Linked DNA regions of Solanum lycopersicum. The protein of the gene in region 1 binds, or shares a complex with, the protein of each later gene. Links are inferred from orthologs where the notes say so. Each region holds a gene or a part of one and is shown on either strand. Other genes may lie near its edges. The genes, in order: CSN3 and COP9 signalosome complex subunit 7.

Evidence for each region.
Region 2: CSN3 (region 1) and COP9 signalosome complex subunit 7 share a complex: the UniProt entries of both Arabidopsis thaliana proteins name them as parts of the CSN complex. The link is inferred for Solanum lycopersicum from reciprocal best matches to the Arabidopsis thaliana genes COP13 and FUS5.

The regions. Positions count from the first base shown.
Region 1 is NC_090801.1:70,963,020-70,967,582, reverse strand, and holds the start of CSN3 (COP9 signalosome complex subunit 3), read left to right. Parts: upstream 1-1,598; 5' UTR 1,599-1,872; coding exon 1,873-2,069; intron 2,070-2,567; coding exon 2,568-2,683; intron 2,684-2,775; coding exon 2,776-3,022; intron 3,023-3,531; coding exon 3,532-3,589; intron 3,590-3,716; coding exon 3,717-3,806; intron 3,807-4,197; coding exon 4,198-4,263; intron 4,264-4,563. Other genes in the region: sister chromatid cohesion 1 protein 2, read left to right, coding at 69-105, 184-205, 346-478, 834-941. UniProt on the Arabidopsis thaliana protein: Component of the COP9 signalosome complex (CSN), a complex involved in various cellular and developmental processes such as photomorphogenesis and auxin and jasmonate responses.
Region 2 is NC_090800.1:79,720,417-79,724,853, reverse strand, and holds the start of COP9 signalosome complex subunit 7, read right to left. Parts: upstream 2,950-4,437; 5' UTR 2,738-2,949; coding exon 2,579-2,737; intron 1,129-2,578; coding exon 1,053-1,128; intron 1-1,052. UniProt on the Arabidopsis thaliana protein: Component of the COP9 signalosome complex (CSN), a complex involved in various cellular and developmental processes such as photomorphogenesis and auxin and jasmonate responses.

The DNA.
Region 1 (4,563 bases):
TCTATTGTCTGTATCTGTTATTGCAATGCTAATAAGTGCTAACTGCAACAAATGCGCTCTTTCCTCAGGAGATCAATTCATTTGAAGGGGATACCTCAGGAAAATGTAAGGAAGTACTGTTTTAGTGGTGCAATATTATTTCAATTGAGTTGCCATTCTCATAAGTTGTTGTCTTGGTTGCAGGCAAATATTCCCTGAGAACAGGGTATGATGAATAAGGGATCTCAGTTTCAATTCTTGCATCCCCTTGTCTGTGGCATCTTTTGGTTATGACTCTCAGAAATTTGTGAAAATTCATTTCTTCTGTTTTTGGCGGTGATCCAATTTTTGGCTTTTTGCATGCAGAAAGGTCGCAAAATTCCTGTTTGAAAACTTCCTTGCTCGGAAGGGGAAGGAGGAGGTAGAAGTTGTCAACTTGTCCTTGCTTATGAAGGGGAAAACAAAGGGAGACAGTGCAAGGGTGTTCTACGAGATACTGGTATTGTTTTTAGGTTCCTTTCATCTTTCTGGTAATTTTAGGTCTGCCAAATTGAACTTGTGGATGAACGGAATTATTTGATACATATTTTGAGTAGCGCTTTCAGCAGGAGTTTTTGTCCCTTGTTTCCCTTCTGTCAAGCATCCAGGATGTGCTCTAGATGGTGGTGCTTAAAAAGGAATTTCTTTGGTTCTATTGTTGTTAAATGCCCCCGTGTTTCTTGGCCTATAAACATTGGTTATAATGGACGGACACATGAATTTATTTTACGCATTTGTCTCTGGTTTTACGTAAATATAATCCAACGTAAGATATATACATTGTGAATTATTTACAATGCTTATTTTCCACGCAGGTTCTGAAATCAGGAGGCTGTATAGATGTGCGGCAGGATGATGCCTACAGTGACATTCTTTTGCAAAAACTCCCAAGACTAAAGCAGACCTTTGAAGCTGAGTCCTGAATCTATATATATATGTTCACAAAGAGAGCTGTGTTGGTAAATAGTAGCCAGAGGAAACAATCACATGACATATATGCTTTTATATATGTTTGGTAGTATATATGAGTGGAAGAGCGCTTTTCTTTGCTAGCTATTGCTCTTCCTCCTTAACATGAAGGCAAGTTAGGTTATTGTTAACTATTATGTCTTCTATCAGGAATTAGTTGAATTTATTGTCAATGTTTTGGTTTATAACTACTACTGGTGCCCAATTTAACCACTTGTGAAAAGCTATTACTCCAATTTTCTTTAACATCAAATACACGAAAAGGCTTTTTATGAGAAAATTGTATACCCAATATATATCTGGAAGTGGTTATAGAAAAATATTGCTCTACAATGTTGTCAATTCATAGGCGTTTTAATCAACAATGAGCAATAATAGTTGTGACTTATGTCGTATAAATATCATGTTACATTTGTATTTGTGAGTTTTAAAAAGCTTTTATCGCGAAAAAAAAAAAAAAAAAAGACATGGTAGGAGTAGGACACAAAGAGGTCTTTCGTGTCTTTAAGTACTCATAGAATAAAAATTAGTTTATGCATAAAAATTTTGATGTATTATTTGATTGTCAAATTCGAAATAATTTATTCCTCCAATTTTATATGTAATGGAAGAAAAAAAATTAAAATAATTTTTAGGTATTTTTAAAATGTTTAATAATTTCTTTTTTAAAAAGAAGTTTTTGTAATCTCTTTATATAAATTTAAATTTAATAAAAATAGATGAAAACCCAATCGCTCTTTATTTTTAATTTATATAAGAGAAATAAAACTGGACATAAAAGAAGTCCCAATTATTTCTTTTTATTTATTACCCAGTCCAGTTGAAGCCTCGTCTCTTAGACGTGAATCTGCTGAAACTCATAAGTGTGTTGATTGGGCGAGAGAGATGAATCTGAACATGAATTCAATGGAATCAGTGGTTGCTCAAATCCAAGGGCTATCGAGCAATTCATCAGACATAACTCAGCTTCACAACTTTCTCAAACAATCGGAAGAGCTACTCCATTCCGACTTCTCTCGCTTGCTTTCTTCTCTCGCTGAACTCGATCCTTCTATTCACTCCCTAGGTTTTCTCTATATTCTGTAAGTTCCTTTTCATCCTCATCTCTTATTCTTATAACCTAAACCTAGGGTTTCTATTCTGAAGATTATTATTTGTTTAAATTAGCCATTGTTAGGTTATATATATAGATATATTGATTAAAACACCCTGGGCTGTGGCTTAGTCATCGTGGGCTATGGACGATGAGGTTTCATGTTAAAATCCCAATGCAGGTGTTTTTTTCCCATCTGCCCTAACTTTGTTGGACACCTGGTATTGGTACGCGTGGAATTAGCTTGGTGGACACCACGGTGATTATGAAAAAAGAAAAGCTAATTGACAAAGAGGATTGTTATGGTCAACACCAATACATGTAGGATTGAGGCATAGTTGATTGATTGATTACATAATCTATAAAAATAATGCAGAATTGAACCATCCACTGAATTAAAGACCAGTATTTGTGTAACAAGTGCGCGTTGTCTTTTGTACTCTGTCTAGTGTGTATTAATCATATAATTGTGTTTGTTAACTAACAGGGAGGCATGCATCTCATTCCCAGTTGCAAAGGAGCATGTTAGTGAACTGCTTGTTTCTGTCGCTAGATTTATCAATTCATGTTCTACAGAGCAAATCCAGTTGGCGCCCAATAAGTGTAATTTTCTCTGGTTTCTGGAATAGCTTTTGTGAATATTCTTGTTTCTGGTCTAACTTATATTGAGGCACGTCTTCAATTTGTGGTTGCAGTCATTTCTGTTTGTAAAAAGTTCAAGGATCATGTTTTCGGACTGGAAACTCCGATTCGTGGTGTGGCTCCAATGCTGACTGCTATTCGTAAACTGCAATCCTCCCCTGAGCAATTAACAACATTGCATGCCGATTTTCTTCTTCTTTGTCTATTAGCAAAGTGCTACAAAACTGGCTTCTCTGTGCTGGAGGATGACATATATGAGATTGATCAGCCACGGGAGTTTTTTCTCTATTGTTACTACGGGTTAGTTGTTTCAGACTTTCTGCTTAGAAGTTATTTCAGTTGTGTTGGTGTCGTTCCCTTGTTCCGTTCCTTGTTTAAATTTCTCTGTGACTTTTAAAAAAAAAAATTGGAATATTTTTTATGGCAATTCATTAAATCATGCTTTCCTATCAGTGTGTTTTCTAATTTTTATAGGAAAGAGGAACTTTACTCGCCTATGAATATTTGTATTTGCTTGTATAGTTATCTGGTGAAAGAATTAATTTTGTTCAAAAACCCATGGTATTGGTATACAATTATCTACGTCTGCCTTTCTTACCTTTGATATTGTTTAGTTCTCCAACCTAAAGACAAAGTTCTTAACAGCAATGTGAATCACAAGTGATGTATCAATTTAGAATGAGATTGAGTAATTCAATATTTTCTTAATTAAAAAAGTCACTGATATAATCTTTCTATCGCTTTCTGGATTTTTCTGGATTTGTGTCTTATACTTGTTGACATGTCTTATAATTTGAACATAATAACAGGGGAATGGTTTGCATTGGACAAAAGCAGTTCCGCAAAGCATTGGAACTCTTGCACAATGTATGTTACTGTGTTCTCATTCCATGTTTCCTTTATTGGTATTTGGTTTTGTTATTCCCTATTTGCAAGTTACTATATATTATCTATATCTGTCCGTTTGTGCTGATTCTATCTGTTATGCTTCTAGGTTGTGACTGCACCTATGTCTACTCTAAATGCAATAGCAGTTGAAGCTTACAAAAAGTACATTCTGGTTTCACTGATTCATCTTGGGCAGGTGTGTTTTGCCACCATTTTTTACATACTTTTGGTGATAATATTTAGTCAATATTCTTGTGACGTCTCTGTTGGACAACAGTTTGTGAGATCTATGTGTCTTTTCTGGGGCTTGAGCTTGCACTGCCGTATAACCTTCTTATTTTACATTATGTATGATATTATCACCGATGGACTCGTTTAGTTTGAGCCACAATGTGTCAACTTTTTAAAATGATTTTGGCTTGTAATATGCACTTTGAGTAGAGATGTAAGCACCCCCCTCCCCCCCTCACCCAAAACAACAACAAATATGCACAAAGTAAAAAAGAATATGATAGGTCATGTTTCCGATGTTTATTCTTGCTGATTTTCGTTCTCCTGATTAAATTGAGGTTTGCTTATCATGGCAGTTCTCTACCAGTTTTCCCAAGTACACTTCTTCCGTGGCTCAAAGGAACTTGAAGAATTTCTCTCAGGTAATTATTTCAACTGTGCAAACATTGATTCCAAGTAGCACCGACTGTTCCACCCAAAGCAAATTGAAAGGAATATTTTCCCTCAAATGATTTGATGACAATGCAAGCTCAGTTAAGTATGCACAGTTGGCGTTACAATGTTGATGTTAGAAATCTTGTACTGATTCAAGTGTTGTTTCAAAGTATAAGCATTGCATATTTTGTATTAGCACTTAGCAGGCTAGGCATGAAACTACATAAATGATAATGAAACAAGAAATATATCAGTATCTAATAGAAGTGAAAGAAAGAACGCATTTT
Region 2 (4,437 bases), on another chromosome or scaffold:
ATAGTTATGGTTCTTTTCCATCAACATTTAATTGAATTCATGACAAGTTATTACAAATACAAGAGCGGGTGACGCATTGTATGAAACAGCATGCGGACCGTGTGAATCAAATATTGTATTGATGATTCACATGGTTTTCTACCATATGCAGTTCAATTTCATTGATTTTACTTAATTCTTAAGTTAAGAGAAGAAAAAAAGAAGACTTTTTTTCATTAGCACTTCTACTCAAAATATCAATCGTATCAAGGTGTTGAAATAACCAAATTCTTACTAGCAAAAAGATTATCATAACTTAAACTTGGAATGTGATATTACTTTATAAAAAGGCAATTGTGAATAAAAGTGATTACTGAGAAGGAATAAAAATTATATCATATTTGTAGTGTTATGTCTTATATACCTGAGCCAATAAGAAATAAAGAAATAAATTAATAAGCAAAATAGATGAGAAAATGGTTTTGAAGAATGTAATTCTATACGCTACTATTACTTGATACTATGGCCCCTATGTGGAACAAAAGTTCTATTCCAGTCTTGCTACGATCAAGAAATCCACATCAACCAAATAATTTGATTGATTTTGTAAGAAAATTTAGAATCAAACCAGTTCAAGAAGAACTATACCGCATAAAGTCCGAACAACTGAGGCTAAACCATGTCCTTATTAACTTCCCAGCCAACAATGAACTCATTTACGGAGAAACAAAACTTGAGAAGTTAATAACTTAATATTGATACCCTCATTTGCACTAACGCTCTATTAACAATTAGAAGAATCTTCAAGTTCTTATACATATGACCAAAAGCATATTCTATCTCAAAGAAATACCTCGAAATGATAGGGTACAAGTTCACAATATTATAAAATTTAAGGCATTTAATATGAAAGAATGGTAAATGAAGTATTGCAGATAAATTGACATAATGGCAATAAAAAGAACATTGTTGAAATCTCCAACCTGGAAAAGCGGATCCAATCAGCTACCCAGCCTACCCAACAAAAAAAATGTTTCTAAAATAATCAGATATAAAAAAAAATGTACGCTTACTTTTGTAGTCACTCCATGTTCCATGAGCAAACAAACGAAGCAAATCAAGGTATACTGAATTCTCAGTTCCTCCAAGCTGCATATAGGTCCAACAAAAAAAAACAATTAACCGCAAATATGAAAGGGATCCCAAAGTATATATACAGCAACATGGCAATATGGTGTTAACTACACAACTTGCAAAAAGTATATCAAGGTACAATTTTCAGGTGCTCCCAATAATCCTCTGCATTGAAACAAATGTTTTCTATGCCCATATTTTTCAAAAACTTACAGTTTGAGATTCAAATCTCACAATTAGATTTATGTTCCAGCAGAATCAACTATAATCTAAGTCTGTGATGCATAAATCTAACCTGAATCTTATGATTCAACAACCAACGTTGAATCACAGGTGCAATTTATAGTCAAGAAATACCACAATAAAGTGCCCACTTCAGATATGGTCTAACCTGACTGATCAAAAGCACTTCTTTTGCCCTTTATTCCCAGATGTCTACCTAATTGTCATAAAGGAACTCTAAAGAGAATCAAAACCGAGTATAAAACCCATTTCCTATGTAGCTCGGACTCTTCCAAACTGTCAATAGTGCATGTCGGATTCGCCAAAAGTAGTGTATTTTGGTGAATCCGACACGGATGCGGCATCAAAGTGAAGAGTCCGTGCAACTAAGCCCATTTCGATATGCTTAGGGTTTTGAGCTCTGAAGTTGATTGAATTGATAGGATGAACCCAAGTTATTTCCTCATTAATGATACTGTATCCCCTACGCTTCTATTACCTCTTTTAAAATCAATCAAATTGTAGTATCTTGATCCATTTTAGTTGTGTTTCCTGATATTCATTCCTTTTGTGTTTTGAAAATCATCTGGTACTTGATCATAAGATAAAATATTAACTTTTCATCTATTTATCCATGATCTAAAACATCTACATAGACTATTCAATATTTAACATACAGCCATATAAATGAGCAAGAGTTTGTAGCTCATCGGCAAAATATTGTTTTCATTAATCCATCCCAGTTTACTCAAAGCTTTCCTTTCTTAAGACATCCCCAACATTTTTCCTCGTACCACAAGACCAATTACTACGCCTAACGCAGGCACTTCCAATATGAGAGGAAAACCCACTAATCAAATTATCAGGAAATTCCATCAACAACAAAAACAACAAACCAAATGTAATCTCACAAGTGGTGTTTGATGTCCAGGTAGGGTAGAGTGTACGCGCAGACCTTATCCCTACCTTTGAGAAGGTAGAGAGGCTGTTTTCGAAAGACTCAACAAACAGATACCCAGAATGATATCATATTCCAGATATTGCCCAATCAATAGCATAAGTACATAACCACGACACAATGTTCAGGGTAAATACCTAGAAACCCAGTATAGGAAAAAACACACAAAATTACAAAAAAACAAATTAACGCAACACCTACTAACCCAATTATCATAAAAAAAAAAAAAAAACTTCAAACAAAATCAGAACAAGTGTAGAAATAGTAATATGAATGAATGGAAACCTCGAGAACACTGGGAACAGAAAGAATCTCTGAAAAAGCAAAGAGTGATGGATGCGAAGTGGCTTCAACAATAACAGTGGTAAGGGCAGAACCCTTGAGTGCTGATGCTTGTTTCACAAAGAAGTCGATGTGCTCCGCTTGCTTTTGTTCGATATCCATCTCTCTATGAATAATTAATAATCACAAGTAATCAGGGGTTCAATAACATTTATAGACAAAAGCAAAGAAAATTATTAGGGTTTCTGATTTCCGATTCAAAGATTTATCACAAAAACAAATAGAGAAGAGGGCTTTTTTAACTGTAAAATTTTGGAGTCCCACGGAGAAGAAGGGCGCTTGTCTGATTTGGTATGATGCTTTGAGCCCATCGCGGGTCCTTTTATACTTTTGATTTACTTTTAAGCTTCTTTCAATATTTTACAATAATAATTACTCCCTCCGTTTAAAAAAATAATAATAATTTAAAATAAAATTTCAAAAAAGGAATAATATATTTTAATTTTATGTAACTAAATTAAAGTTATGTCAAGTATATCAAAATACTTTTTAATTTTATATTCTTAAACATGTCATATCGTTAAAATGTTGCCAGAAAAGGAAAAATATCATTCTTTTTAAAATATACAAAAAAGAAAATAAGATCATTATAAGAAATATATACTAATTATTTTATATGTATATTAAATTTTAATAAATTTCAATAATAATATATTCAATATGATAACGTAGAGTGAATGTCATGTTAATCAAATCATGTATACTGAAGAAAGATTTTTGACATTGACATACTATTAATCTTAATGGCTTTGTCGTATGCTTTAGGTTGATTTCATGTCAATGTATTTAAATTTGAATATACCATTATTATATGATAACTTATCAATAAAATAGTATTTTGTATTTATACAATTAGATAGAGAGTTACTTAACAAGTAAGGGGTTGCATTTTACGAAAAATTCATCAAAGAGCTCTTAGCAAATGTGAGACAATCACTTCTTTCAATCTTTCTCGATCATAGATATTATTGTTTTTCACTTGACACCTTGATAATAATGAATAACTTGTATCATCTTTCCTCAAACTTTTATGATTTAATTTTATGTTTTTAATCATGTATGTTATGTCATTTTCAATCGTGGCATATTTCGGATGCTTGAAGGTCCCGCTGACACGAAGTGATTTAGAAATATTCTTCTTTTGTCGATGGTGATCGGTCATGGTATACACAACCTTGCTTTTTTTTCGTTCAAATCCTGATTTCGTTTTGCTTCTCCCGATCGTCGAGCCTGATCGATTTGACTCTTTTCCATGCCCCCGACCTCTCACTCTATTTCGTTCTACTTCTGTACCATTGCTTGAATAAAGACACCCGGCCGACCCGACTTTCCCAAATCCCCCCCCCCCGACCCTTCTCCTTTACGGGGTCTAGATTTTTCGCGTCGTTTCAATCGTCGTGGTCGACGGAGAAGAAAGAAATGAATGAATATTCTTTTGGGTTATATATATATTTTGAAAATAGTTGCAAGACAAAAACTGAAACCTTTCTTTTATTGTTGTTCCTCCCAGATACATGGCTTACATATGTGGCTCAACATTCTTGGAAAACAACCGAATCGAGGGTTCGGGAGCCTATAAAACGTTTGTTATGATATAAGGATCGTGCGCCTACCCGAATTGACTTCGCTATTGCTTCCGTGTAGGGGTCGATCCCAAAATAGGGATTTTTTTATGTGAAAGGAATTTTGAAGCGAGTATTATTTTATAATAAATCTGTAAATGTAAATTATAGTCAACTTGCTATTAACTAATTAAGCACAAATTATTACTTTAAATATAGATAAAATAGTCAAATAAATAA